Linked DNA regions of Canis lupus familiaris. The protein of the gene in region 5 purifies or fractionates together with the protein of the main gene of each other region. This does not show direct contact. Links are inferred from orthologs where the notes say so. Each region holds a gene or a part of one and is shown on either strand. Other genes may lie near its edges. The genes, in order: PTPN21, SMAD6, TXNIP, RNF11, WWP1, SPART and PTPN14.

Region 1 (3,500 bases), on a different chromosome or scaffold from region 5:
ACGCGTCACATATTAAGGTGAGAGGAGCGAGCAGGGCTACAACAGGCTGTGAAGTTGTGAGTTCAGCTACAGGAATGATGAGAACTGTATCCACGTCTATGTTCTAAAAACAGGCTAGTTGGAACCATTGGGACAAATTATGTTATTAAGCTGGGAAATCCATACACCTGGCCGGGTGGGAGGTGTTTTACCAATAGAGCCAAAGCCGCATTCGCCCTCCCACGTGCTAAGCCCTGTGCCCCCCACACTGCTGCCAGGAGTCAGGGAGCACTCTTTGGCCTGACCTGAGGACCTTAGGACTTCGTTCTTCTAAATCTAGAGATTTCTTTCTGGCCCATCGATTATCTCCAGAGTGGCAGAATGGCTAGTTTTTCGTGATCACATACCTGCATTGATTCTTATGTGGCAAAGATGTCTGGGTATTTTGGTTTTTGTTTTGAAATTATTTGTATATATAATGATATATTAATTATTAATATATTATTAACATATTACAATATATAATATGTTAATAATATATATAAGTATATATTTATATTTATAGAGCACACGTGAGAGAGAGCACACACAAACGTGCGTGAGCAGAGAAGAGCAGAGAGAGGATCTTTTCTTTTTTTCTTTTTTTTCTTTTTTTTTAATATTTTTTATTTTTTATTTTTTTTTGAGAGAGAGGATCTTGAGCAGGCTCCATGCTCAGCACAGAGCCTCGACTTGGGGATCAGCTTCACAACTCTGAGATCATGACCTGAGTCAGAACCAAGAGTCTGAGGCTTAATGTACTTAGCCTCCCAGGAGCCCTGTCTGGGTGTTTTTAATGGTGGTCACCAAACCTTTTCCGCGTGTCGTCTGTTCTCTTTGCATCATTCTTGTCATCACTAATTTTTTTTTTTTAAGATTTTATTTATTCATTCATTTATTTATTTACTTACTTATTTAAACATGAGTGGGGGTGAGGGTAGAGGGAGAAGCAGGCTACTGGCTGAGCAGGGAGCCTGACTTGAGGCTGGATCGGGACTCTGGGATTGTGACCTGAGCCGAAGGCAGCCGCTAAACTGAGCCACCCAGGTAGCCTTCCTGTGATCATGTTTTGTTTTGTTTTGTTTTTTTAAAGATTTTATTTATTGATTCATGAGACACAGAGAGAGAGGCAGAGACACAGGCAGAGGGAGAAGCAGGCTCCATGCCGGGAGCCTGACGTGGGACTCGATCCTGGGTCTCCAGGATCACACCCTGAGCTGAAGGCAGCGCTAAACCACTGAGCCATCCTGGCTGTCCTGGGATCATGTTTCAATATCGTTTTTGTTCTTTGTGGAAGCGGTGCCGCTTTTTCCCGAGGGGCAGTGTGATGCCATTGAACTGGGGTCATGTTACACCCATTAAAATGGGAAAAAGTGATGATTCCCACCTGGTAGGTGAGGGAAACCAGGGGCTCTCTCTTCTGCATCATTGTACATTTTGCATGTGCTGCTTGGAGATACAGTCCTTTTATTTTGAGAAGGAGAAGCTTCCTTGTTGGGAGTGAATGAGGAAGTATCCATGGTCAGGTATCTATCTTCTTGCCCACATCTTATTTCATTTGCAAGTGGTATCTGATGAGCGCAGTTTCACACTCGCTTTCAGAGACCTGGCAGTCTGCCTGTGGATGCCAGTACCCTTCATGGTCTTTGGGAATCTGCATGTGCTTTTTAATATGGGTATAGGGGCACCTGGCGGGGGCTCAGTTGTTGATCATGTCATGATCCTGGGGTCCTGGGATCGAGTCCCGCATCGGGCTCCTTCTGCCTGTGTCTCTGCCTCTCTCTGTGTCTCTCATGAGTAAATAATATCTTAAAAAAAAAATAATTTGGGTATAATTTATTTAAAAACCAAGCATTTCTGTGGAATAACTCATCCAGCCTCTTGTGACTGGATGGGTGAGAACTGAATCAAGTTGTCCTGTGTGGGTATTGCAGAAGCTACCGAGGTCAGCTGAAGAGCATGGAAGATGGCCAAGCCTCAGAGCTCCTAGATCTGTTACCTGTCAGCATGGGGCTCCCTGTGCTTTCCTCTGAATAAAGCGCTGACACCTCCCCTGGGGTGGCCCCAGACCCCCACCCACACCCTGTTACTCACTGTGGTGCTGGTAGCACCGAGGGAGCCCCTCTCAGTGAGATTCCAGCCGGTGGCCCTGAATGAAAGTATGGGCAGAATAACCCAGGCACTGTGGTCACCAACATGGGGCGGGGGGGGGGGGGGGGGGGCGGTGGGCTTTAACCCAATCTCCTGGCCGTAGATCCAGCAATGGCTCTGTTCCCTTAGACTGTCCTCAAGGGGATGCAGCCTCAGGTGGAAGCTTAGTGTCATTCTGGAGGGTGACCTTGACTTAGAAGTTCAGAGGGGAGACCACTTTCAGTAGGAGTATTTTTTTCTGCCCCAGAAATCTGGCATTTAACCTCGGTTTTGGCTGGATTGTTACTACTTTGCCTACTGTGTTTAGTACTTCATGAAGGGAAACTGTGTTTGAAATTTAGGATACTGTTATGGTGATACTGTTTTTCTAAGAAGAACCGTAACAGCAGCACTAACAACTGTGTATGGAAAACCTATTGATGTGCAAGCACCTTATACACTGACTAATTTAGTCCTGCCAACCACCCTATGAGGTACAGGACATTTTTATCTTACACATGTGAATAGAGAGAGAGGTTAAGCAAATTGCCCCAGGTCATGTAGATATGTGAATTTAGAGTCCATACATTTATAATCCGGTAGTAATAGGAATTGTATTAACAAGGAAAAAGAATAAGAGAAATCTTTATTCTGAATAACTCATTTTTTAGTACCACCATAAATGAATGTGCATACATGTATGCATATCTACATAAATACACATTGATTAATTTTTAAAGATTTATTTATTTAGAGAGAAAGAGGTTGAGAATCCTACGCAGACTCCCCACTGAGCTGCGTGCCCAGCATGGGGCTCAATCATACGACCCTAAGATTATGACCTGAGCTGAAATCTAGGGTCGGCTGCTTAATTAACTGAGCTACCTGGGCGCCCCACATATTAATTTCTTTAAAAAATCTTTTCTAATTTCAGGTCTCTGTCAGTGGAATTGAGTGGGATTATATTGCCACGCAGGGACCGTTACAGAATACCTGTCAGGATTTTTGGCAGATGGTGTGGGAACAGGGAGTGGCCATTATAGCAATGGTGACTGCAGAGGAGGTAAGGACTCATCTCTCTTCCTTGATTTGGTCAGCCTGAGAGGAGCAGTTAATGTTGGTCACGGGGAGTCCTGGCCTTGAAGGAAGAAGGCAGAGTGGGGTTGCAGTTCTGTGCTGCAGACACACTGCGTGATGGGGCCCCCGTGGCTGGATGCAGTGCTGCGTCCTGACCGTGCCTGCCTTTAACAGGAGGGTGGAAGGGAGAAGAGCTTCAGGTATTGGCCACGACTTGGTTCCCGTCACAACACCGTCACCTATGGGAGGTTTAAGATCACAACCCGGTTCCGCAC
Region 2 (4,155 bases), on a different chromosome or scaffold from region 5:
CCCAGGGAGAGAACAAAGAAGGGAGGCAGTTCTCAGAGGTAAATAAAATACCTGGCTTCCTCCCCTCCTCCACCTCGGGACAGTCCTCCAGGACCCTCAACTCCAGAAAGACTGGACACAGAACTGACAATGATGGGGAGGAGGGGGGGGGGGGAGTGGGGGGCTGACATTTGACACCCAAGGGATGCTGGGAGCAACCAGGGCAAGAAGGTGGTCTCCACTCGGAGAGAGCATTGCTCCAAACTATACAAAGGAACCAGTGTGGCAATTTATGGACACTTCTGACTCTAGCCATGAACTGTCTACGCCCAATTTCACAACTTGTATCTACCTGGATATAGGAAGGTACAGCATAGGTAGGAGCATAGGTGTACCAAATGCTACAGGCCTGGGCACAGGCTGGGGGTAAACCTGGCGGGCGTGGGGTGTGGGGTGTGGGGTGGGGGGCGCGCGGTTGGATGACACTCGTGTGCGGCTTCTCCCGGGCCTGCCCTCCTCCTCCACGGCCTACAGGAGACCCCCGAGGCCGCGGAGGGACGCCAACGCGGACCCTGTTAGGTTTGCAGGAGCCTCGGGAAGGTGCCGGAGACGCGCTTCCCACGGTGGGCGCCGGGCCCCCGCGCTCCGGGAGCCCAGCCCGCGCGGGTGGAGGGCGGGGGTGGGGCAGAGGGGTGCAGCCGCAGCTCGGCCAGCCCCGCGGGGTCCCGCAGCGGAGGGCTCCCCGCGGCGAGGGGCGCGGAGGGGAGCCCCCCCGCGGGCGCGCGCGCTCACCTGGCCCGCAGAGCCGGCTGAAGTGGTAGGGGTTGCAGCACACGGTGGGGCCGTCGGCGGCGGCGGCGAAGCTGTGGCAGCCGCACAGGGGCTTCAGCTCCACGGCGTGCTGCAGGTCGGGCCAGCGGAAGAGGCGGCCGAGCAGCAGCTGCGGCGGCGCGGGCTGGCCGCCCAGGCGGAGGTCGGCGCGCGGCACCAGCACGCAGCCGCCCGGCACGCCGCCGCGGGACTCCACCGCCTCCAGCAGCGTGTCCAGCGAGCGCTCCTTGAGCCGCTTCAGCAGCGAGTACGTGACCGTCTTGAGCTCCTGCTCGAGCAGCAGCAGCCGCGAGCGGGCTTCGCGGCTCCGCCCGCCGCCCGCCGCCTCCGGGGCCGCCCCGGGCGGGGGCTCGGCGGCGTCCCGCGGCGCGCCCGCGGCGTCCCGCTCCGAGAAGAGGCAGCAGGTCACCGTCTCGCAGTCGCTCTCGGGCAGCCAGCCCGGGCCTCCCGGCTCCGCCACGTCCCGCGGGGAGCCCCCGGCGCCGGCCCCCGGCTCGGACAGGGGCCTCGGGGGCCCCCCTGCGCGCCGGCGCCTCCCCGCGCCCTGGGCGCCTCGCTGTCCCGCCGCGTCCCGGGGCCGCCGCGGGGCTACCGGGCGGACCTCGCAGCGGCCGCCGCCCGCGCCTTCTCGTGCCCGCGGGGCCGGCTCAGCGCGGCTGCCCGAGCTCCCATCCTCGCCGCCGCCGCCGCCGCCGCCGCCGCCGCCGCCGCCGCCTTCCTCCCGGTCGGGGACCACACGACTTCGCCAAAGTCGCCGCACCAGCCCCGAGCGTTTGGACCTGAACATACGATATCCTTTGGCGCCGGGGGTGGGGGGCAGGCGGTCTCCGGTTACCGGTGGTCCGTTCGGTCAGCGAGGCGCCGGCTGCGCGGGCCGCAGCCCCACATGAAGCTCCGCCGCCGGGCGCCGTGCAGGTCGCGCACAGCCTGTCGTCGAAGGGGCGCCGCAGGGCTGCAACATGAGGGAGCTCGCCGGGCCGGGACGGCGGGGGACGCGCGCGCGCCGAGCCGCAGTCCGCGCTGGGCCCGCGGCTACATGGACCCCGGCGGCCCGGCTGCTCAGCAACTCCAGCCCCGGCGCTGGAGGGGGGACTGCAGGCGGCGCCGCGCCCCGGAAAGACCCCGCATGGGCCGGCGAGCCTTCAGAAGTTGCGCGGCTGGTCCATGAGCACAAAGCGCCCGCGCCGAACCCCCCCGAGGCGTCGGGGCAGCCCTGCCTTGGAAACCCAAGCGCTTAACTACATGGGCTCTTCCTGCAGGAGCCGAAAGGCAGGCTTGCTGATACCCTCCGCTTCCTTCTTACTCCCTGCAAAAAGGAAGGGGGGGGGGGGGAGAAAAAAGGAAAAGAAAAGAAAAAGAAAGAAAAAAGAAACCCCAAACAAAAACCAAAATCCTGGAATTGCATGCACGGAAAGCCAACTCCGTCTCAGGTCCCAGGCGCTAGATGCACTTGGAGCAAGTTTCTCCTGAACGCGGGTTGTCAACACATGAGTGGAGACTGTAAAAATCCCAAAGAGCTGTTGGGGATCCTTAATTAAAAATGCAATCCACCGAGGCAGAGGTCGCAGCCCGCCCCACGCTGCGCTCGGACGCCCGGGGCGCCGCGGCTGCAGAGGTCGGCCCCCTCCCCCCTCCGCAAAAAGTGCCTCCCGGTGGCCCCGCGGTCCCTGCGAGGTCTGGCGAGGCAGCGCCCGGCGGCTCTTTCTCTCGGCTCGGCTCTCTCGCTCGCTCCCCCGCTCGGCTCTCTCTCTTTTTTGTTCTCCTCAAACGCACACTGAGGGCCCCCGGAGGAGCGCCGCGGAGTCATTGGCTGCCTCCCATCATATGCCAGTCTAGACACTTTGGCGGCTCCGCGGCGCTGATTGTTGCGCAAACAAGGTTTCAAGTTTCTTAACTCTTAAAGGAGAACACGTCCCATTGCAGGGCCCGAGGCTCCGAGGGGCCGGCTCCCGGGGCGGGCCGAGCCCGGGCTCCCGCCCCACGCTCGCCCCGGCACCCCCGCCCCGAGCCTGACAGCGCCCACGGCCCGCTGTGGGGCCCGCGTTGCGCCGCGGGCACGGATACGAGCGAGCACCCGCACACGCCCGCGCGCGCGCACACACACACACACACACGCGCGCGCGCGCGAGTTACACAAACCACGGGCAAGCGGCGCGAGGGCTCCGTGGACCCACTGAGGCTTGGATGCAAACGCGGCGCTTCGCCTCTCCCTGGCGTGTGCGCAAACTTGCAAACACGCATTGCGCTTTAGAGTTGGTGCAAACCCCCCATCCCCGGGAAGGCTAATTTAAAAAAAAAAAAAAAAAAAAAAAGGGTGTGCGTGAGTGCCTTCCCGGCTGGAGTCCCTGGGGAGAAGGGGGGGAGGCTGATTTGTTGGGGTAGCGGGATCCTCCGGGATGGCACGAGGTCTCCGCACCCCCCTGCGCAGTCGGGGGTCGCTGCGCCGGGCCACGGGGGCGACGCGGGGCGCTGGGCGCACGGGGGCACCGGGCTTGCCCGGGGTAGGGAGTTGCAGGGGGTGGGGTAAGAGGCGGGGAATGTCTCCTCTCCGGCTCCTCGCGGTCGCCCCGGCCCTCCCTCGGAGCTAGGCGGACCGCCAGCCGTCCCGGGCCCCCTCGAGGCCGGGCGCTTCCTCCTCCCCTTTCCCCAGATTGATTCTCTGCACCCCCGAGCGGGATGTGGATAGGGGTCGTGCTTCCCCCGCCCCCGCCCCCGCCCCCGCCCCGCGACATCTCCCCCCAGGGAAATACGAGTGAGTTGGGGGCAGGGCAGGGTCCCGCCCCACCCGGCCCTGGGGGGGCTGGGGGGCGCGGCGGCGGCAGCGGCCGCCCGGCGCGGGAAGGGTTAAGGCCGCTCCTGCCCCTGGAGCCGGCGCGGCGGGGTACCTCCTCGGGCGCGCTCGCTTGTCCGAGGGTGGCAAAAGTTCAAGCTTGTAAAGTCGGGATTGGTCCCGCGCGGAGGGAAAAAAGGCCTGGTCCCCCCCTCCCCCCCCGGGCGCGGCGCCGATTGGTCCGGCCGCGGGGCGGGCACCGCCCTCTCCCCAGAAGCGCGGCGGCCCCGCCCCCGGCGCGGCGCCCCGCCCCTTTCCGGGCAGCAGCCCGGCCCCGCACTGAATGAAAGAAATTCCGCTACTCTCATTGGCCCGGGGCTGGGCGCCGGGCCCCGGCGGGGGCCGCTGGGGCGCGGGCGCGCGGGTCGCCCCCGGGTGCCCACGTGTGGGGCTGGCCCTTGCACTGTGCGGCCCTGCGAGGACCCCGCGGGGCGCGAAGTCCGCGTGAGCGCGGGGGGAAGGGCGGTGTGTGCAGGAAGGACTCAGAACCATTTGCTAAGTTTTTACCTGCAGCC
Region 3 (4,230 bases), on a different chromosome or scaffold from region 5:
TAAAAATCTCCTGATACTTCAACACAGACAGGAGAGGCCCAAGAATCAAAAAAAAATAAAAATAAAAATAAAAAAAAAAGGGTGCGTCCATGTGTGCCTTTATCTCTGCAAGTTTGTTTGTTTTTGCATTTATGAGTAATTTCTCAGGAGTCAGGTCCTTAAGGCATCTCATGCCAGGTTGGGGGGAGGGGGGAATCTGACAAATGACAATAAAGAGTGATCAGTCAGGGTCTCTTTTAGCTTGAATACAGTGATCCTTTTGTCTTCTTTCCTCACTGGGATTTCTAAAATAAAGGGCTTAGAAAAACACTTTTAAAAGATACGGAAACTCTTCCTTCAAACAGGAATGCAGCCATCTCTTTACTGACACTTTGATCATATAAACAAGAGAACTTTTAACTCGGCTGTGAGGAGTGTGGGCTACGGATTTAGAGATGCGCCTCTGATTTGGTGAGTTGCAGAGGGGATGAAGACAAGGAAGAGTGCAAGCAGCTGAGGAGGAAAGTGAAACGAGGGAAGCATCTTGTTTCAAGTACATACCTTACTAAAAGAGTAATATATTGGTAACTGGGGGAATAGAAACAAAGTGTTCCCCCAACTTTGCAGGTAGAAACTGAAGAGATGAGGGGGAAAGGAACAGGATGTGAACACGCCCTGATTCCGTTCCAGGGAGAACAGAGCGAACGGAGAGAGAGGGTACAGGGGCTTCCAGGTTCGGGGGCGCCGGAAAGGGAGCGCGAAAGCCGAGCAGCGCCCCGGACCGCTGCCCACCCACGACGGAGAAGAGCTTTACAATTTGTGACAAGTTCCCCTTTCTGTCACGGTATTTAGGGGTTTGGATAGAGACCCGGGGGCAAGAGAAAGACAAAGGGGCTCTTCCTCAACAGTCACACCAAAGCTCCCTGGCCTCTGCCCCAATTCTGAAGTATTCTTGGAGTTAAGGGATTATTTTTCACCGGACTTGCGACTTGTGAGCCGGAAATAAACGGTCGCCTCTAAATTTATTGCACTGGCTGAGGTTAGGCACGAAATTCCCACATAAGCACATTTTCTTTTCGCTTCAAACGCTGCTCCCACCCCAGAAGCATCTGCACCCGCCCCCCGACGGCCACCCCCCGTGATAAATGCTAGGGTCCGCGAGGGCCCGCTCCCTCCGGGCTTCCCCTGGGCGTCCTCGGGCGGAGGGAGGCGGCCCCGCAGCCCCTCCGCTCCCTCCTCCCGGCGAGGCTGCCGTGCACAACAACCATTTTCCCCGCCAGGAGCACACCGTGTCCACGCGCCGCTGCGGCCTCGCTGATTGGTTGGGCTCCTGGTAAACAAGGGGCGGGCAGCCAATGGGAGGGCTGTGCACGAGGGCAGCACGAGCCTCAGGGCTAGCGCTCGCGTGGCCGGGCGAGCCCGGGCGACTATATAAAGCAGTTTCCGGCTGCTCCCCGCAACTCTCCTTCCGTCTCCTCTGGCGGGGTGGGCCGTTCGGGCTCTCCTAGAGTCGGGGCGCTCCTCCAGCTGTCGGAGAAAAGAACAGAAAGCTGATTTTTTTTTTTTTTCCCCCGGGGATCCTTCGGCATCACCCACAGCTTACATTTTTTTCCAAAATCTTTTTGAAATCTTAGCGGAGAGTTGAAGAGTGAAATAATTTTTTTGCAGAGCATTTTTGGATTTGGAGTTTTGTTTTTTCTCTCCCCCCCGTTTATAACTGTCAAGGCAGCCCAGCCAATCATGGTGATGTTCAAGAAAATCAAGTCTTTTGAGGTGGTCTTTAACGACCCTGAAAAGGTGTATGGCAGCGGGGAGAAAGTGGCCGGCCGGGTGGTCGTGGAGGTGTGCGAAGTGACTCGAGTTAAAGCTGTCAGGATCCTGGCTTGCGGAGTGGCCAAAGTCCTGTGGATGCAGGGATCCCAACAGTGCAAACAGACCTCTGAATACCTGCGCTTCGAAGACACGCTTCTCCTGGAAGACCAGCCAACAGGTGAGTGGCCCCGTTGTTTGTCGGGAGGGTGAAAGCTGATTTGAGAATAGAGTTGAAACGAATGCTTGCAGCTTATGCTGAATATTTCAAGCTGCTAAGGTTGAGTAGCTTGACTTGTATGTTGTTTCCTTTTTTAGTTTTAACTTGCAGACTCCTAAAAAAAGGGGGGGGGTGATTTGTACAGTTTCTTACAGTGTTCTGTTCTGAAGGTGATCCTGAGGTATGCTGCCTTAACTATTTAAAGGTTTTCTGTGTGCATAAGTTGCATATTCTTCGCTCGTTTCCGGTTTGAGAGGGTAGTAGCTTCACTGCCCTGGTTGAGCCTTTCATCATTGCAAGGCTTTGAAACTTTTTGCCCAACGAAATGCATCAGGATCTCTCAAGAACAGAAGGGGGTGAAAATAGGGGACCTGCAATAGACTTGCATGCTGCCCAGGAATTCCTTATCACACAGATGCATTTGAAGTGAAACAAGAAACCTGATGGGCTATTCTTTCTTCTTTCTTCTCAGGTGAGAATGAGATGGTGATCATGAGACCTGGAAACAAATACGAGTACAAGTTCGGCTTTGAGCTTCCTCAGGGGTAGGTGTCTACTAAATGCATCTTTGGACTTTCTTATCTCTAAAATTCGCCACCTTTGATCACCTGTTCTTGGAGAACAGTTTTAGATTGCTTCTTTTTTCTTGACACAGGCCTTTGGGAACATCTTTCAAAGGAAAATATGGGTGTGTAGACTACTGGGTGAAGGCTTTTCTTGATCGCCCCAGCCAGCCAACTCAAGAGACAAAGAAATTCTTTGAAGTGATGGATTTAGTGGATGTCAACACTCCTGATTTAATGGTGAGGTTCATTTAAAAATTATGTTTTCTTGGGTTTCGGGGATGGTAAGTCGTAAGTCAAGTGTCTTAGGCATTAGACTGATGTACCTCAGGGGATCCAGTCCTAAATGGATTACCAAGGTGGGAGGGAAAGTTGCCTATTCTAGGTAAGGAGTAGAAAGAAAAAAGAGAAGGATCTCTAGAAAGTCTCAAAATGTCTTTTTACCCCTATTTAACACAGGCTCCTGTGTCTGCTAAAAAGGAGAAGAAAGTTTCCTGCATGTTTATTCCTGATGGACAAGTGTCTGTCTCTGCCCGAATTGACAGAAAAGGATTTTGTGAAGGTAAAAACTTAATTAAAAAGGTAGTCTGATAAAACAGGAACTGTGGGTTTGGGAGTGAGGGCAGGCTATAGGGGTAGAAGTCCTTAATTGTATTAAGCGTCAGCTAATAAGTTTTTGTCTTTATCATTGTTAGGTGATGAAATTTCCATCCATGCTGACTTTGAAAATACATGTTCGCGCATCATGGTTCCCAAAGCTGCCATAGTAGCACGCCACACTTACCTTGCCAATGGTCAAACCAAAGTGCTGACACAGAAGTTGTCATCTGTCAGAGGCAATCACATCATTTCAGGAACCTGTGCATCGTGGCGTGGCAAGAGCCTTCGGGTGCAAAAGATCAGGCCTTCTATCCTGGGCTGCAACATCCTTCGAGTTGAATACTCCTTATTGGTGAGTGAATGGAGTCCAAGAAATTGTTCATCTGTCAAAATAGTCATTTCTCCAAACCTCTAGTCTAACTAACTGTCATTTTTCCTTTCTAGATCTATGTTAGTGTTCCTGGCTCCAAGAAGGTCATCCTTGATCTGCCCCTGGTAATCGGTAGCAGATCAGGTCTGAGCAGTCGGACATCGAGCATGGCCAGTCGAACCAGCTCTGAAATGAGTTGGATAGATCTCAATATTCCCGATACCCCAGAAGGTGAGCCAGACCTAATGTTTTTTCTTCCTTTTTGACCTGCTTGGGTTTGTGAAATTGTGACGGTCAGGCATTTCTTGGCCAAACTTCTTATGCCTATGTTTTCTCTAGCTCCTCCTTGCTATATGGATATCATTCCTGAAGATCACCGATTGGAGAGCCCCACTACTCCTCTACTAGATGACACAGATGGTTCCCAAGACAGCCCTATTTTTATGTATGCTCCTGAGTTCAAGTTCATGCCACCACCGACTTACACAGAGGTGATCATTGCCATTTTACAAATTGTCCTCTAAGCCTCTTACAGGAAGTTGAATGGGAAGGACTGCTAAACTGGGTGGTTGTTTTAGTTCTTACCCAAACTAAAATAATCGTTTCTTTTGTTTCTCTTCCCCCCACTCCAGGTGGATCCCTCCATCCTCAACAACAATGTGCAGTGAACTTGTGGAAGAAAAGAAGCA
Region 4 (3,994 bases), on a different chromosome or scaffold from region 5:
CCTTCCTTTGCACATATTGCTTCTCGGGCTCTTTGTTCACTCAACCAAGAGGGCCTACTGTCCCTTAGGCAGCACCCAGGCCGTGCACAGAGGAGGGACAGATGATTCGGCTCGATCAGGCTGTGATGGGGAGAAGCTCAGGGACGAAGGGCATGGAGAAGGCCACCAGTCCAGACTGGAGGGTTAGAGGAAACGAAGTTGAATTTAGGAAGGACAACTGGGAATAACGGTTAGCCTGATGGGGGGTAGGAGGTCTGGCGTGAAGGCGAAGCGCGCGTAGGTCGGAGAAGCAGTTCGGGTGAAGGCCTCAGCCGGAGGGAACAGTCTTCTAAGAGAACCCGAGGTACTTTAGACAGCCCGCAGTTAGATATCTGAGGGGACAATGCTGCTAATGAGATTGGGGAAGTAGATCTGTAAACCGTTTAAGAATACTCCTAACGGTTTGGGTAAGCCAGTGAAGGTCTTAAATGGGGGGTCAATTTATGTTTTAAAAAGATCGCGCAGCTGTGTGAACGGTGGCCCGGCTCACGGGCGAGCTTGGACTTTATTCTGAAGGGAGAACGGGGAAGAAGCCTCCCTAACATTTCAACCCGGGAGCGACCCGTTGGGAGGAGGGTTTGCGAGCACATCACCCGGCCGGCGGCGGGCAGGAGGCTGCCTGAGGCGCGCCCGAGGGAGCAGGGACCCGCGGGAGGGAGCCCGCAGGGCGGCTTCCGAGGCCCGGCCCCGCCGCCAGGGCCCCGGGAACAGCCGCCGGGCGGGAGGGGGCGCGGCCGCGGCCGGAGACGCCCAGGGCTCGGGCGCCGGGGGCGGGCCCGGGGCACGCACGGCGCGTGACGCACGGCCGCGGCCCGCCTCGTTCTGGCCGCCGCCGCCGCTCTGAGGCGGAGTAGGATGAGGCCCGCGGCCGCGGCTCCGGCGTCGGCGGGGGCAGCAGCCGCTGAGGCAGCAGCTGGGGCAGCCGCGGCAGCCGCGCCCCCCGCCCCTGACCCGCGTTAGGCCCGGCAGCTCGGTGGCCGCCGCCGCCCCGCGGGGGGGCGGGGTGGGGAAGGGCTCCGTCTCCCCGCCCCCCCCCCCCAGTGCCGCCTCGCAGGAGGCGCCCGCCGCGACCCCAGCGGAGCCCAGCCTTGAGCCCCCGGGCCGGGGCCTGGCATGAGCAGCCCTCCGGCGGCGCCGGGGCGCGGGGGAGCCGCCGCCTGAGCCCGGCCTGCCGCCGACCCCGCCTCGCTGGCCCGGCGCGTGCGAACGGCCCGCCGCTGCTTCTGCCTCCTCCGGATCACACCTCGTAGCCTCGGAAGATGGGGAACTGCCTCAAGTCCCCCACCTCGGATGACATCTCCCTGCTTCACGAGTCCCAGTCCGACCGCGCTAGTTTCGGCGAGGGGACGGAACCGGACCAGGAGCCGCCGCCGCCATATCAGGTAGGGGAGGCTGTGTGTTGGGGAGGAGCGGGGCGAGGCGGCCCGAGCGGGGGGTGGGGGGGCGTCGGGGCCGGAGGGGAGCGGGGGAGCCGAGGGGGGCCGAGGGGCCGGGGGGGCGCCGAGGGGCTGTCACCGCCCCGGCCTCGCCGGGCCCGGCCTGGGGGGCGGCGGCCCTAGGGCGGGGACTGAAGGTGATCGCCGCCCCTCCCGGGGTAAGGGGGACCCTTCACCTCCCATCAGGAACGGCGTGGGGACGGCCCTCTCTGTCCTTGAGTTCTGGGATCCGAGTGGTGACAGTATCCTCCTCGCTTGTGGAATTTGGGGATGACCTCGTTCCGCCTTTATGTCTAAAGCGTGGAGTCTGGTATGAGATGTGGGGGACGTTTCCTCATCGCGCCGCCGCCTGGACTGTGGGTTCTGGGTAGGTCGTTGCCCCCCACCTCCTCGTCATGTGTGGCCATCCGCTCCCCCACCCCTCCCTGTACCCTGTGCGTTAATTGGATCTGGTAGGTGCTCATTTCTCCTACATGAGAAAAGATCAAGTGGTGATTTTAGTGCTGGCGACATCAGGAGTTACTTGTTTATACATATGTGTGTGTGTATGTATTAATTTTGATCCCTCCTCCTCTCGCTCCACCCTATGACACACCTTTTAAACGCGCTGATTCAATAAAACTTGAGTATCTTGAACTTTGGAAACCTTTAAACCTGACTTGAATATCTTCTGTTACTCGTGGTTCTCACTTCGTATCAAAGACTTGCTCCTAAACAGTTTCATCGCTTTTTGTACAGCAATCCGTCCTATATATGTTTACAGTTAATAAAAAAGCTAAGATCTCTTGAACTCCAAATAGATAATGTAGATCTTATTTAGAATATATAAAAACCTTTTCTCTACTTTTCAATTTTGAATGATATTGGTTAGCTTTTTTTCCAGAGGGGTTTAAATAGTTAAATGCCTTAATTTTTTAGCTGAAGGGGGTTTAGTTTTCTAACCGGGCAGTCTCCTTTGTTGTTTCATGTGGTGACATCATTATCTAGTGTTATTCTTCTCTCATTCCTGTGTAAACCAGTGTCTCATCACACCAGAAAAACCTGATCACATATCCTGGTTTTGTGAATAAAACCCTCAGGGTCCTTTCATATATATATGCCAATAAAGTCCAGTCTTAATCGTGGCATACAGAAGCCTCCATGGTTTATCTTTCACATTCTGTATTTCAGGCCTGCCAAATACATCAGTTCACATCTCTGCCTTTGCTCCAGTTGCTCCCTCTGCTAGGATCCCTTCCCCCAAGGTCAGCAAGGTGAACATCTAATCCTCTTTAAAGACTCAGCTCTCCTGTCACCACTCTCCCAGGTCTCTACCTTCCCCTCCCTCCCTCTGTGAATCCATCCCTCAGTTGTTTGTGTAGCACCCTCCACCCCCCCACCCCCATTCCATAAGCAGCACAAACAACACTTGGGGTGTTAATATCTTTGTTTTGTTAGATGTAGGTTTCATCCTTATGGCATTTCCTTCTGCCTCCAGTGTAAGCTGCTGGCAGGTAGGGACCCTTATGTCACCTGCTATGCTGTTACATCCCCAGCATCTGGCTCATAGTAAATATTCAGTAACTTGTGGGATAAGTGAAGACTAAGCTCTTAAGAACAAGGACTGTATCCTCAATGTTTCATGAAATTACTGGCACTTAAAAAAAAAAAAGAAATTACTGGCACTTAAGCATTTAAATGTTGAATGAATTAATGAATTTGAATTCAGTACCTTGTGTGGTAAGTTTACACACCTGTTTCTTCCAGAGAGTGTCACAGGGAAGTCTTTTCATCTTTTTGAATCTTTGAAGCAAGTAAATTGTTTATATTTCACTTTTCATTTCCCTCAAATACTATAGGACAATGTGCTTATTTTAGCTTCCTGAGCAAATTTTTGTAGAGGTATGATTTTTATTTCAAAATCTCCTTCCATACTCCCTAATCCCTTTCCAGGCAAATTAAATATCCTGAGTTCATGGCCCTTTTTCTCTTACCCGCACGGTAATACAGTGTTAAGGATAACTTAATTTTTAGGAATTGTATTTGGTTTTTCCAGGAGAACTAGGTGATAGATTTTTTTTTAAATCATGAAGGAACATGTTATTTGTGACAGCAGGAGTTTTTGTGGTTGCCCTTTTTTGAAGTGAGTGACCCAGATACTGATGCAAATTTCGTATCAATTGAAATAAAACTTTAATGGGAGCATAAAGAAACTTTTGTAGAAAAAGCTTTGTCCCCTCCCAAAGGAAATAAGATTTTTAGGAATGGTTAATTTAAATGATCTGAGAAACACCAGTCCAAACACCAGTCCAAGAAATGATTTATATTTTCAGTGGACAGAAGTAACATTTTTTCTTCAAAAATAGTATATAATTAAAAGAGCTACAAGAATAGCATATTTCTTGAAAGAATAGTCTCAGCTGCAATAGGATCTTTAAAAATCTTTAAAGCTGATTATAGAGGAACACAGTATTTTTCTGTAGTGGGTGGTTAAAAGATGTCCTTTTTGTGTTGCACGGTGTAGGCTAATGCTAAGAGCT
Region 5 (4,263 bases):
TGGAAGATCATGTTAATCCTTCTCTTGAAAGCTCTGAAGAGCCAATGAAAGATTTTAAACAGTGAAACGACACGCTCACGTGTGTATTTTAGAATAATCGTAGTGGATATGGTGTGCGTTGGGCCCTGGTATCAATTCGGAGTGTAGAAACTAATGGAAGGGAGAGGAAGAGAAGGTACATTCCTTCAATCAGAGTTATTATTTAATCTTACAATTCTTCACGGGGCGTTGATGCTCTTCTTGGTACATAGCTTTTTCAAGAGCTTAATTAGGATGGAAAAAGAGGGAGAACTAGAGAGAGGTTTTAAAGCCGAGGAGAAATTTAGGACAGAACATAATTAAAACATCATCATGCTGAGGGGGCACAGGAGGGAATGGACAGTAACGAGGTCCTCTTTGGAGAGAAGCAGACACCCAGCCTTGGAGTCAGAAGGAAAACCAATAGGCTCGGGTGTGGATGTAGGTAATTTATGGGGCGTGGGTGAGGCGGGTGGGCCAAAATTGTAGAAACCCATGCTTGATGGCCTTTCTCATTTCTGAAGTAGAAGACCAGTCATCTGGTGAGTAATGTGGTCACCAATGACTTCTATTTGCAGGGCGGTCTTCTAAAAGCAACGCACAGAACCAACAGAACTTCTAGAGACTTAGTTAACTCGTTTTTATAAATGGGGAGAATGTACTCTTTTTCATGGCGGCACCGTGCGAATTTGCTGCACCGACACCTGTGCCTGCTCAGTACCAGTTTTATCACCGTAGCGTTATGGGGGCGAACGTTTTGGTGACTAATGAGAGTAAAGTGGAAGTCTTCTGTGGCCACCTGTCAAATGCAGGATTTACTCTTGCAGTGGGGTTCTAGGTCAGATGCTCAGGTCAAGGAGTATTTATTAAAAACAGCCTACTTTTGCAGTAAAGCACTCGAGATGAGAAGGCCAGCGCCGGGGGCCCTGACCCGAGGTCGCTCACCCGCGCTGTCCCAGTCCCGGACGGACGGGGAAGCCAGGTCAGCAGCAGCCACCTCGCGCTCAGAGGCCTCTTCCCAAATCTCAGCGGTGGCCCCGCCCCCTCCACAGGTTTGGGCCCCGCCCCCCTCCTCCCATTGGCTGGCCCTCGGCTCTCCTCGAGCGCGCTCCGCAGCCCCGGAGGAGCGGAGTTTTCCGAAAGCATCCTCGCGGGGGCGCCCTCGCTGCGCATGCTCGCGGGAAGCCCGGGTTCCGGGTCCCGGCGTGGGGGGAGGGGGGCTCTGAGGCGGCCGCGGCGCAGGCGCGCGCTCGCGGCGCGGCGCCGGTGACGCGAGCACGCGGCGCGCTCCTGAGGCGGGAGGTGTGGGGTCTGCCGGGGGCGGCGCGCGGCCGGGGTGGGGGTGGGGGGAGGGTCGGGTGTCGCCGAGCGCGGCGCGGCGAGCGGGTTCCAAGTGGCTGCAGGCGGCCTGGGCTGCCGGGGCCGACGCCTGGGTGGCTGCCGCCGCCGCCGCCGCCGCCGCCGCCGCCGCCGCCGCGCCTGCTGCGAGATGGCGATCTTGGGCGCGGAAGGGTGAGGGCGCCCCGCCGCTGGAGTGGCCGCCCGACCGCCGGGAGCCGACGGCTTTGCGCCGGGTAAGGACGCCGCGGCGGGGGGCGGGGGGCGGGGGGCGCGGGGGGGCGGGCGCGGCGGCCCCCGGGCCGGAGCCTCTGAGGGGCGGCCGCCGACCGTCCGCGCCGCGCCGGCCGCCCCCCCCGGCCCGGGGGCCCCGGAGTTTTCTGGGGTGGGGTCACGGGGCTTGCCCCGCGTTGGCCCCGGCGCAGGCCCGAGCTGAGGATCCCGGAGGAGCCCAGGGTCTCCGTGACTCTGCAGCCGCCGTCCTGAGGCTCCCTCAGCCTCCCCTCAGCGTTCCGTCCGCCTCCTCGTCCTCCCCCCGCAGCGCCCCTCCGAAGCCATCCCCGCGCGTGGACTTGCACCGCTGCCCTGACTTTCACCGCAAGACTCCCGGCCGTACAAAAAGGCGTTTTTATTTTCCTGACGTGTTTTGATCCCTCCGGGTTCTTCCCTGACTCTGCAGTCCCCCCCCCCCCCCACACACACACCCCAACACAACCCCCACCTCCACCTTTGTGTGACCTGGTAGGTCCCAGTGACCTTGCAGTTTTTACTCCTTATCTCCTCAGTGACCTGGACCTTCTCCTTTCATCTTTAAAAAAAAAAAAAAAAAAGGTTTTAATTTTGTAGTTTGTCCATTGTTTTTTTTTGTTTTGTTTTTTTGTTTTTTTGTTTTTTTTACAACCTCCGAAGGATCCTCAGTCCTTCCTTGACTCCATCGTCTGGAGTTAGTTGAGCGTCCTTTGCTTCCGTAATTACAGGGAAACCTTTCCTACCCAAGACGAGTGTCTTTTATTTTGACATTCTTACTCTTCCAGGATAAAATATTTTCCAGGGGCTTGGTGTGACTTTTTCTGCTTGGTGAGTTTTTATCTTTTTTGTGTGTGTGTAGGCTACTGTGCAAAAAAAAAAAAAAAAAGATTTTGAGTTTCGGCTTTAAAAAGCTACTGGTCAGAGTGGAAAATAATGTCCAAAGTTCTCTTTTTCTCCCCCTTTGGTGTTTTTTTTTTTTTTTTTTTAACCTGAAGTACCTGCTGTACAATGTATGCGGGTTTCTGCAAGCACTCATCCTTCTGTAGGAATCCAGTTGACCTGTCTCCTAAGGCTCTGTGGATGATACAAGCAAAATGCACCTTTAAAAAATAAAAATAAAGGCATTCTCTTACGTGACTTTGCTTTGGCTGTAAGGTAGATACTAGTTGGGACTGCAAATTATCACTTCTCGTAAACAGTTAATATTTTTTGAACTGAAAAATTCCTGGCCGAGTGTTGGGAGCTACTCACACTGAGAAGTGTAAAAAGTATGTAGAATAGTTACTTGGTATGTAGCTTATTGATGTTTTCACGTAGCTTTTCCCTTAAAATACAGAACTGTTTATAAGACATCTAACGCCAAGACTTAAAGGGCAGTGGGGTTATGTTTTTTAGAATCCTGGTATGATAGAGGATGTCACAAATAAGTTCTCTGCCTTCAGAGAGATAGTGATCTTTGCTTTTTGCCCCAGGAAGGCTGAAATTTCCTTCACTTCCTTGCACAATTATTAAGCATCTCCTGCATGATTGTGTGAGGTAGATGGAGTAATATGGAGTACAGCAGTTTCTGCCTTCCCAGAATAGTTAGGCAGGTAGGACTATCACAAATGCCTCCTTTATCTTTTAATACATCCTTACGTTTCATATAGAATTCAAATTCAGAAGAGGAAGAGCTCACATCTTACTTGGCAAGGTGAGGTAAGGAGGGTTAATCCATAGAGCTTCTGGCTTTTGAAATCTTTGTTTTGAAGGGTGACTGAGACTTTTGATAAACCAAGAAAAGTAATCCAAGCAGAGAAAAGGGACTAAGAAATTAGAGCACAGAGTTCATATGTTTGGGGAGAGGGAAACAATTATATTTGGGTGGAACATAAAGTATTTGTACTAACATAAAGGCTGATAAAACGAAGTAAAAGTTTGAACCGGTTTATGATTGCTTTTAAGGCTGGGCTAATGATCTTGGATATAATAGGTTTGAGGGGTTTTACAGATGATTTTTTGAGTTGCGAATGAAAAGCTTAAAATACTGTTTTCAGAGGATTAATTTAGCAGCAACGTGTACTGTGAATTGAAGTAGAAATCTGGAGGTAGAAAGACCTTGATTGCTGTGGTCATAGGTAATGAGGGTCTGAACTAAGGCTGGAATATTAGGAATGGAAAGGACAGAATTTGATGGTCAGAGAAAAAAATGAAGAAAGTAAAAATAACAGATTCTGACCCAGGTTGGGAAAATAATGGTACCATTTTGAACAGTATCCATGGAAGCTTTATCTTCGGCAGATGTATGTTACTTTACAGCAGTAATTATTAGCCTTTTGGTGATTGCTAATCCTTGGTGAAACTAAAAAAAATCTGGCATGGAAAATTTCCATATGCACCTGTGCTTTCTGTATATAATTTTAGGGAAGTCCATGAACTCACCTGAAGCTCACCTATGGAAGGGTCAGTAGGTTGGGCTAGGAGCAGCTCTCAGGATTACTGGAGGCTTTTTAAAACCATAGAATTTTCAAATTCTTCCATTTACTGATAACCCCTACTGTAGAGACTTACTTTATATACACTTAAATACAATATCTCTACTTTGTGTTGTGGTTTACAGTTTACCAAGAATTGGTACTGTTATTTGCTATTATATAACAGACTAGCCTAAGAGGTTAA
Region 6 (3,500 bases), on a different chromosome or scaffold from region 5:
CTGTGTTTCATAAATATAAAAGGTGAAAAAACATAAAGTAACTGCTTAAAACTTACCTATATAGAATATTGGTTTGAAAGGCTAGAATTACATTTTAAGAAGGCAACTGCCAAACATTTTAGATGAAGAATTTAGTAAGCTGATTTGGGAAGAAGTGGAGGATCTGTAACAATAGACTGATTAGAGGGCAGCCCCAGTGGCGCAGCGGTTTAGCGCCGCCTGCGACCCAGGGCGTGATCCTGGAGACCCTGGATTGAGTCTCACGTCGAGCTCTCTCCATGGAGCCTGCTTCTCCCTCTGCCTGTGTCTCTGCCTCTCTCTCTCTGCATCTCTATGAATAAATAAATAAATAAATCTTTTAAAAAAATAGACTGATTAGAGCCCTCCATTGGGTTAGATTTGAGTGAAATCATTTTAAGTCATCTGCCAACTTCTTATTTATTCAGCAAACATTCATTGCCTTCTATATCTCAGCATTAAATGTATGCATATAATGTGAATATGGATAAAAGAAATCTATATCTGGCACTACACATGCCCTTTAATTTCTTTTTTTTTAATTTTTTTTATTTATTTATGATAGTCACAGAGAGAGAGAGAGAGAGGCAGAGACACAGGCAGAGGGAGAAGCAGGCTCCATGCCCCGGGAGCCCAATGTGGGATTCAATCCTGGGTCTCCAAGATCGCGCCCTGGGCCAAAGGCAGGCGCCAAACCGCTGCGCCACCCAGGGATCCCTACACATGCCCTTTAAAAGATCTTAATAGCTACCAATAAAATATTACATGTTCTCATCTTCTATTGTAGTATCTTTGGTTTTACTGTATTATTTCTCTTACATGGTGATAGCTGCTTTATAATTTGCATCCTAATTATTTCTCTTCATCAGTCCTGTGACTTTTCATTTATCTAATTTCCATTTATTATTAGTCATCAGTGGACTCTGTCCCTCTGGTTTGTTTCATTGCAGGAGTATATAGTCTACTTGAGCTTTCCTTTGTTTCATTGTCGTTTATGATTTCTCAGTCTTCTTCAAATTCAGCTGATTTTTTACTTCCTAAATCTTTCAACCTGTAAGTTAACTCTAAAAACCCATATGTATTTTTTTAATAGAGGTCTTCAATCCCTTTTTGTTATGGGAACTCCTGACTGGATGGTATTTGTCTGGGTTTGAGACGTGGTCCTCCTCCAGGGAGGCTAGTGTTTGAGCTAGAGGTAGACATGTTGACTAAAATAGGAAGAAAAACAACAGTTCTCCTAATCAGTTATCACTTGGCACTTTATTTTTCATTGTTAGCATTTTTAAATAAATAGGATTTTCACATGATTGCTGAATGCCTGCTCACTCATAGGCCAGAGTAATTATGTAAAAACCATGCTACAGACCTTGGAAGAATATACTTAGGTATTTTATATGTATGGCTTTAAAAGCTTGTTGTTTCAGGGTTTAGCCAAAAAAGAAATATTTAATATTGTAAGCTCTCCAAGGCAGGGTAACAGTTCCTCTTAGAGGAAACTATTCTTCTATATTTTTTCTTGCTTTTCCCATCTCCTTCTGACTTCTCCTTTTCCCACATGTGCACAGGACCTTTTCACTAGAGAAGTCTATGCTATCCTGCTTTCTCTGTCACAATCTCATTTTTCATGCATGCTGTAAGAGAAGCATTGAAGGGCTGGAAACTACCATCAAGAAAAATGGCTAATCTAGGCTTCCCAGTTTTCTTCTTATATTTTTTCTTCTCATGCGTTCTTTGAGTATTCTTATGTCTGTCATTCACGTCCATGTTACAAGCTAAAAGGTGCTGAGATTGTGGAGTTTGGGTTTAGGATTGAGGGAGGACCAGGACCCCCTGCCTTATGCCTTTCATCCAAAGCAAGCAAGCAAGAGTTCTGCCTTGGTGTTTGAGATTTAGGTTTACTGGTTTCCAATTTGCATTATTTGTGTCTAAACCCTTTAACACTTCATAGAGGAAAAGTGGTTCCTGGACTAAAGCAAAAAGAAAAAGGATACCTGGGTCCTCAAGCTAGATACCATGTTACTGGCATCAAAACCCAAAATTAGTCCTTACTAGTAACATTGTGGTAAGTAGCATGTAGATAGATACCTATAAGTTGTAGTAGAAGCATAGAGTAATTCAGAACTGTGTTGAGTGATCTGTGACCTAAGTTCTTAAAGATGAATTTACTTAGATATATAATCCAGTTAGAAAATTAGAATTGTAAAGTTGAAAGTTTATGGCATGTTTGAGATATGAACAGTGAATTCCTTGTTTTTGTTTTCCTGTTGGTTTATTAAAGGGTTTACAGGTATAATCAGCTCTAATATTGTACACTTTAAAATTTTCCTATAAAAAGGTGCTTCCTGGGTGAGCTGGGGTTTGGTCAAAGGTGCTGAATTTACTGGCAAAGCAATCCAGAAAGGCGCTTCTAAACTCCGTGAACGGATTCAACCAGAAGAAAAACCAGTGGAAGTTAGTCCAGCTGTGACCAGGGGACTTTATATAGCAAAGCAGGCTACAGGAGGAGCAGCGAAAGTCAGTCAGTTCCTGGGTAAAGTAACTTTGGAGGACTGCTTTTTTTCAGTTAAATTAAAAACGGCTTCTTAATCTAGGTTAATCTGAATGTTCATTTAGATGGTTTAACCTTAAAAGTAAAGGATTAGGACAAAACAGTTTCACTTTGCTACTCATAATAGGGTTTGTAGCAACATCAACCTATCTGAGAGCCTTAGAAACATTTCACGTACTTGGCACACATTAACTGATTCAGAAACAAGATCCCTGCCTAGGTGATTGTTGTTTGCATATTATTTTGAGAAACATTGGTTAAAGGGTTATTTTGGTGTATCAGAGAGAGGAGTGCTGTGTCTTTCAAAAGGAATGGCTCTGAATATATTTGCTATCCTTGAATAGGATACATTCTTTTAAGAACAGCTCACTGCATAGTAGTTGGGGTCAAGTGGGAGGGATGTTTTATTTGAACTACGTTGATTCAGTGATTCTGGTGTCAGCCTTCCCAAGCAATATGCTACTAATTCATTGTCCTTTGAGAATCGTAAATCTAAAGTTTGTATTTTAAGGTAGTCCGATCACTCCTTAGTGAATTATCATTAGAGGAAGATTATCTTTTTGGTATTCAGTATTCTTTGAATCAGGTTTTGGTTTGTTTACTTTTATATAGACTTAAATACCTTATTACTATTTCAGTGAGATATTTGTTGAAATGGAGAAAACATAGAAATGGACATAACTGGAAAATATGAAAGGTGGACCTTGCCAAAAAGAAAATTATATTTTAGAAGCAAGGTTTTAATCACTAGGCTCTGCAAACATATCTTTAAACCAAATAAGAGCCTTTGTTTAAAAACTAGCCAGCCATGGTTCTCATCCTTATATAGAAATGATAAGTTATGCAATAAAATAAGTTTGCTCATGTAAGATGCTCATGTAAGAATTTTTATAAGTAAGAGTGGTAAAATCAAGGGAAGAATACATTTTTTTCT
Region 7 (3,500 bases), on a different chromosome or scaffold from region 5:
ATTGGTAAATGGATTTTCAGCACGTCCTGGCCCAGGCTCCTTTACCACAACTTGAGAACCTGTGAATCCAAGCGTTCTGCTTTGCTGTTTCCCCTGCTGATCTGATGTTTATTGATGCCTGCATGGTCCCATAGCCTCACATTGGTCATTTTCATCCTCTCCTCTTGTTAACCTATACTCAACAAAACCCTGTATCCAAACCCATGGCACTGACTCCCTACATAGAGCTTCATGCACCATCACAGAGATGCAAGGGAGTTTCCACTGTGTGTCCCCACCCCCCCTTCATACGAACAATAATGAATAACTGGTTTCATTTCTTAATTGTAGCTCAGGAACATCATTACCCATTCCTACTTTGTTTTCCCATTGTTTTGTTCTGTTTTTCCAAATTAAATATACTCAGGAGCTCAGGGACTACTACCCTTAGCTGGTGCCTTGACCCCAGAGAAGGACTAGGAGGTTCTTCAGTGAGCCACTGTGTGGATCAAGATGGTGACACTGGCAGTGACTCTGAAGGTTGAGATGGTTCTTCATCCTTTTTTTTTTTTTTTTTTTTTTTTTTTTAATGAGGAAACTTACTCCCATGCCCTTCCCACATCTCAGATGCTCTTCTGCCCTCCCCACTGTGGGCAGCTTTTGCCTGGCTTGTTAGGAATGAGTAAGAATGGAGAAGGCTGTCCAGGCTTCTCTAGGCTAAAAAAAACAGTGAGAAAATTTAACCGAATGGGAACCGGAGGGGGACAGGGATGGTGAGAATGTCCCCTGCAGGCAGCTCTCCATAATTTTGGAGCCACTCGTCTATTTGATGGACAATTCCTGCCTGCTGTTGTGATAGCTCCTCCTTCTGGCTCCTACTGCTGCCTTGAGGCCATTTCACTGTTTGTAGCCCTGGAGCCCAAAATCGGGTGCCAGGAAGAGAAAAGTCCAAATCAGGTTTTTGAGTTACTTATTTTTTATCTCTGGTAACAAGCTGATGGGATAAGTGAGAAGGAACTAAGAGAAATTGTTTATCCCTGGGATTTCAGTATTCAGCAGGTAACTAGTAATCCTTCCAGGGAAGACTAGTTAGTTACTTTTTGCCTTAGGCCTACTTCGATCCAGATGGGAAGGAAGCAGATGGACTATTTGGAGGACCTTAGGGACATTTCTTGCAAAATGATTGCTTTTCTCAGAATGTCACAGAGGAAGTGAAATGTTCCCAATTAAAAGAGGTAGCTAATAATTTTTTCCCCTGGTTACCTAGTTTGTCTGATGGGTTGGCCTTGTCACTGAATAAAGCATCACTCAGAAAGGCCAGAGCTCCATTTTGACTGTAAGAGGTTTTGAGAGGCTGACCTCATGTAAGGTGGAAATGCCAGCCCGTCCCCCCAGTTAGAATAATCCACTAACTCTTTGTCATCTGCCAGTACCATGGCTCCATCATCACACCTCACTGGGGACTAAATTTATACATGACAGACTAAGAAAAAAAAAAAAAAAAAACCCTAAAGCCTTGAAAAGAAACCAGGGATAAGATGACCCCTTCCTCTGGGGCAGCCAAAGGAATCTACAAAGTGGTTTTACTTTTGTTAGAATCAAAATCTTAAATGCTGTCTAACTCCTCAGCTTGTATGCTTTCGGAAGTCCTGCTATTCTTCTGTCTTCCAAGACAAAACTATTTTTGGGAAATGCTCTTATTGGCTTGCTGGGTAAAAGGAGATTTCTTTTATACCTCAGTCCATTTGGGGAGGCATAAGGAATTACAATAGTAGACTTAACACCGAGAGCCTTGACTGACCAACTTCAGAATGTTGGTGCAGGTGAGGATGGAGAGGAAGTCAAAATACCACACACAAGGACCATGTGTTGACCTCCAACCCTTTCCTTATTGACTGGCCTGCTCCGCCCCCAAATCTGTATTCTCCCATAGTTGCATCACGTTCAGTAATTTCCCACCATGGTCATTGGGAGCCCTGGTGCCTACTCCTTGGGGCCTTCTGATGCGGCATGAAGGATAATGCCTCATGGATCATGTTAGACAACCACAGACTTCGGTGTTGGCAAGGCTGCTAAACCACATCAGCCCTCGTACTGGGGATGCTATCCCAGGGACCAGAGCGTCAGCATAGGATTGACATCCTCCATCTGACAGCCTCTCAGAATGGAAACTTGGGAAGATTTTTCTGTATGGGTTATGAGTCTTGATTTCTTGACAGTGCTACAAGTGGTATCTATAAGGTTTTTTTTTAATCATTTAATCTGTATAAAAGGTCCATCACTGTGATTGGATTGAATTGTTCATGAAAACTGTTTCTCTTTCCCTTGCCCTGTCTTCATTCAGCCCTTACCTTCCTGAAATGTCTTGCTTGTACACTGTTTTGCTTCCCCCGGCCCCCTTTTTGAGTGAGCTCCATGGCAGGGGGATATTTGTAGGTAGTCTTTGCTCTTACTTGTTTGTTTGTTAGTTCATTCATGCATCCATTTTTAGATAAAATCTCAGGAGTCCTGTAGGACCTGGCTACCTCAGGCACAGTGGGAATAATGGGAAGGTTGTGTTTGAATTTGCCCTCCTAATGGTGATTGTCTGCATTCCTTGGCTGGGCAGTTACAGATTTGGGGAGATTAAAACACATTCCAGCATTCTACTCGTATTATAAACAATGAGAACATGCCTTTTCTTGCCACAAGAATCTAGAGAAGCAGAAGATGGCAAGCCTGGAGGCACAGAAGCGGCCGCTCATGTTGGTAGCGTTGAATGGACTCTCAGTTGCCCGGGTCTCGGGGCGGGAAGAGAATCGAGCTGATGCCACCCGAGTTCCCATGGACGAGAGGGTAAGCGCTGGGCTTGTCAAACACGTGATTCATTCTCTGTGGTCTTGGGATTCCAGAGCTTGATCCTTGCCCAAACATGCCGGCACTAAGGTTTATTTGATGAATTAATTCTCCAATTTGAGATTAGCAAGACCTGGTGTGCATTGTATTAAATCGATTCTTTCCAGCATCTCAAGTTTCTTTGTCAAGTTGGTGTAGTGAAGCCTGCCTAACGGGACCAGCCTGAAACAAGCTGCATTGCCTTGGTCAAGTCACTTCATTTCTTTGGGCCTGTTTCTCTTTTTTGCAAGATGAGGAAGTTAAGCCATTACTGTAGTTTCTGAACTTCTATGAAATTTGCAAACCATTACCCTTTATCAGGGAGTGAATATCTTACCTAAACATTTATAGAATTCTTTTAATATACTGTCCCCTTGGTTGACTATAAAATGCGGCTGATTTATAATTTTTAGGATAACACATTGTGAGAATGTTGGTTTCGAAAAGCAGGAAGAAACTGCATGGTGGTGTTTTGGAAGTGAAGAAAGGTGTGCTCCTTTAGTTCCTAAAATTACTGTACAGTGAAACATGTAAATTTAATGGAGTGCTAGTAATATTCCTGTTTGAGATTTCTGCCAGTATATATGAAGTATTAGAAAGGTTTAAAGGCAGAAGGGACTTTAGAGGAATCATTTAAGGAATCACTA

The links.
Region 1: the proteins of WWP1 (region 5) and PTPN21 purify together in Homo sapiens (affinity purification with mass spectrometry; 3 studies listed by BioGRID). This does not show direct contact. The link is inferred for Canis lupus familiaris from reciprocal best matches to the Homo sapiens genes WWP1 and PTPN21.
Region 2: the proteins of WWP1 (region 5) and SMAD6 purify together in Homo sapiens (affinity purification with western blotting; 3 studies listed by BioGRID, with this or other methods). This does not show direct contact. The link is inferred for Canis lupus familiaris from reciprocal best matches to the Homo sapiens genes WWP1 and SMAD6.
Region 3: the proteins of WWP1 (region 5) and TXNIP purify together in Homo sapiens (affinity purification with mass spectrometry; 4 studies listed by BioGRID and IntAct, counting the BioPlex papers as one, with this or other methods). This does not show direct contact. The link is inferred for Canis lupus familiaris from reciprocal best matches to the Homo sapiens genes WWP1 and TXNIP.
Region 4: the proteins of WWP1 (region 5) and RNF11 purify together in Homo sapiens (affinity purification with mass spectrometry; 3 studies listed by BioGRID, with this or other methods). This does not show direct contact. The link is inferred for Canis lupus familiaris from reciprocal best matches to the Homo sapiens genes WWP1 and RNF11.
Region 6: the proteins of WWP1 (region 5) and SPART purify together in Homo sapiens (affinity purification with mass spectrometry; 5 studies listed by BioGRID and IntAct, counting the BioPlex papers as one, with this or other methods). This does not show direct contact. The link is inferred for Canis lupus familiaris from reciprocal best matches to the Homo sapiens genes WWP1 and SPART.
Region 7: the proteins of WWP1 (region 5) and PTPN14 purify together in Homo sapiens (affinity purification with mass spectrometry; 3 studies listed by BioGRID). This does not show direct contact. The link is inferred for Canis lupus familiaris from reciprocal best matches to the Homo sapiens genes WWP1 and PTPN14.

Annotation. Positions count from the first base shown.
Region 1 is NC_049229.1:60,038,125-60,041,624, reverse strand, and holds part of PTPN21 (tyrosine-protein phosphatase non-receptor type 21), read left to right. Parts: coding exon 1-17; intron 18-3,082; coding exon 3,083-3,211; intron 3,212-3,399; coding exon 3,400-3,500.
Region 2 is NC_049251.1:31,364,635-31,368,789, reverse strand, and holds the start of SMAD6 (mothers against decapentaplegic homolog 6), read right to left. Parts: upstream 2,801-4,155; 5' UTR 1,598-2,800; coding exon 772-1,597; intron 1-771. UniProt on the Homo sapiens protein: Transforming growth factor-beta superfamily receptors signaling occurs through the Smad family of intracellular mediators. SMAD6 is an inhibitory Smad (i-Smad) that negatively regulates signaling downstream of type I transforming growth factor-beta.
Region 3 is NC_049238.1:59,434,007-59,438,236, reverse strand, and holds the start of TXNIP (thioredoxin-interacting protein), read left to right. Parts: upstream 1-1,430; 5' UTR 1,431-1,719; coding exon 1,720-1,969; intron 1,970-2,480; coding exon 2,481-2,553; intron 2,554-2,663; coding exon 2,664-2,811; intron 2,812-3,030; coding exon 3,031-3,133; intron 3,134-3,266; coding exon 3,267-3,523; intron 3,524-3,615; coding exon 3,616-3,772; intron 3,773-3,880; coding exon 3,881-4,032; intron 4,033-4,173; coding exon 4,174-4,209; 3' UTR 4,210-4,230. UniProt on the Homo sapiens protein: May act as an oxidative stress mediator by inhibiting thioredoxin activity or by limiting its bioavailability.
Region 4 is NC_049236.1:10,032,379-10,036,372, reverse strand, and holds the start of RNF11 (RING finger protein 11), read left to right. Parts: upstream 1-1,194; 5' UTR 1,195-1,298; coding exon 1,299-1,421; intron 1,422-3,994. UniProt on the Homo sapiens protein: Essential component of a ubiquitin-editing protein complex, comprising also TNFAIP3, ITCH and TAX1BP1, that ensures the transient nature of inflammatory signaling pathways. Promotes the association of TNFAIP3 to RIPK1 after TNF stimulation.
Region 5 is NC_049250.1:33,146,069-33,150,331, forward strand, and holds the start of WWP1 (NEDD4-like E3 ubiquitin-protein ligase WWP1), read left to right. Parts: upstream 1-1,463; 5' UTR 1,464-1,592; intron 1,593-4,263. UniProt on the Homo sapiens protein: E3 ubiquitin-protein ligase which accepts ubiquitin from an E2 ubiquitin-conjugating enzyme in the form of a thioester and then directly transfers the ubiquitin to targeted substrates.
Region 6 is NC_049246.1:4,340,956-4,344,455, forward strand, and holds part of SPART (spartin), read left to right. Parts: intron 1-2,353; coding exon 2,354-2,548; intron 2,549-3,500. UniProt on the Homo sapiens protein: Lipophagy receptor that plays an important role in lipid droplet (LD) turnover in motor neurons.
Region 7 is NC_049228.1:12,220,824-12,224,323, reverse strand, and holds part of PTPN14 (tyrosine-protein phosphatase non-receptor type 14), read left to right. Parts: intron 1-2,670; coding exon 2,671-2,814; intron 2,815-3,500. UniProt on the Homo sapiens protein: Protein tyrosine phosphatase which may play a role in the regulation of lymphangiogenesis, cell-cell adhesion, cell-matrix adhesion, cell migration, cell growth and also regulates TGF-beta gene expression, thereby modulating epithelial-mesenchymal transition.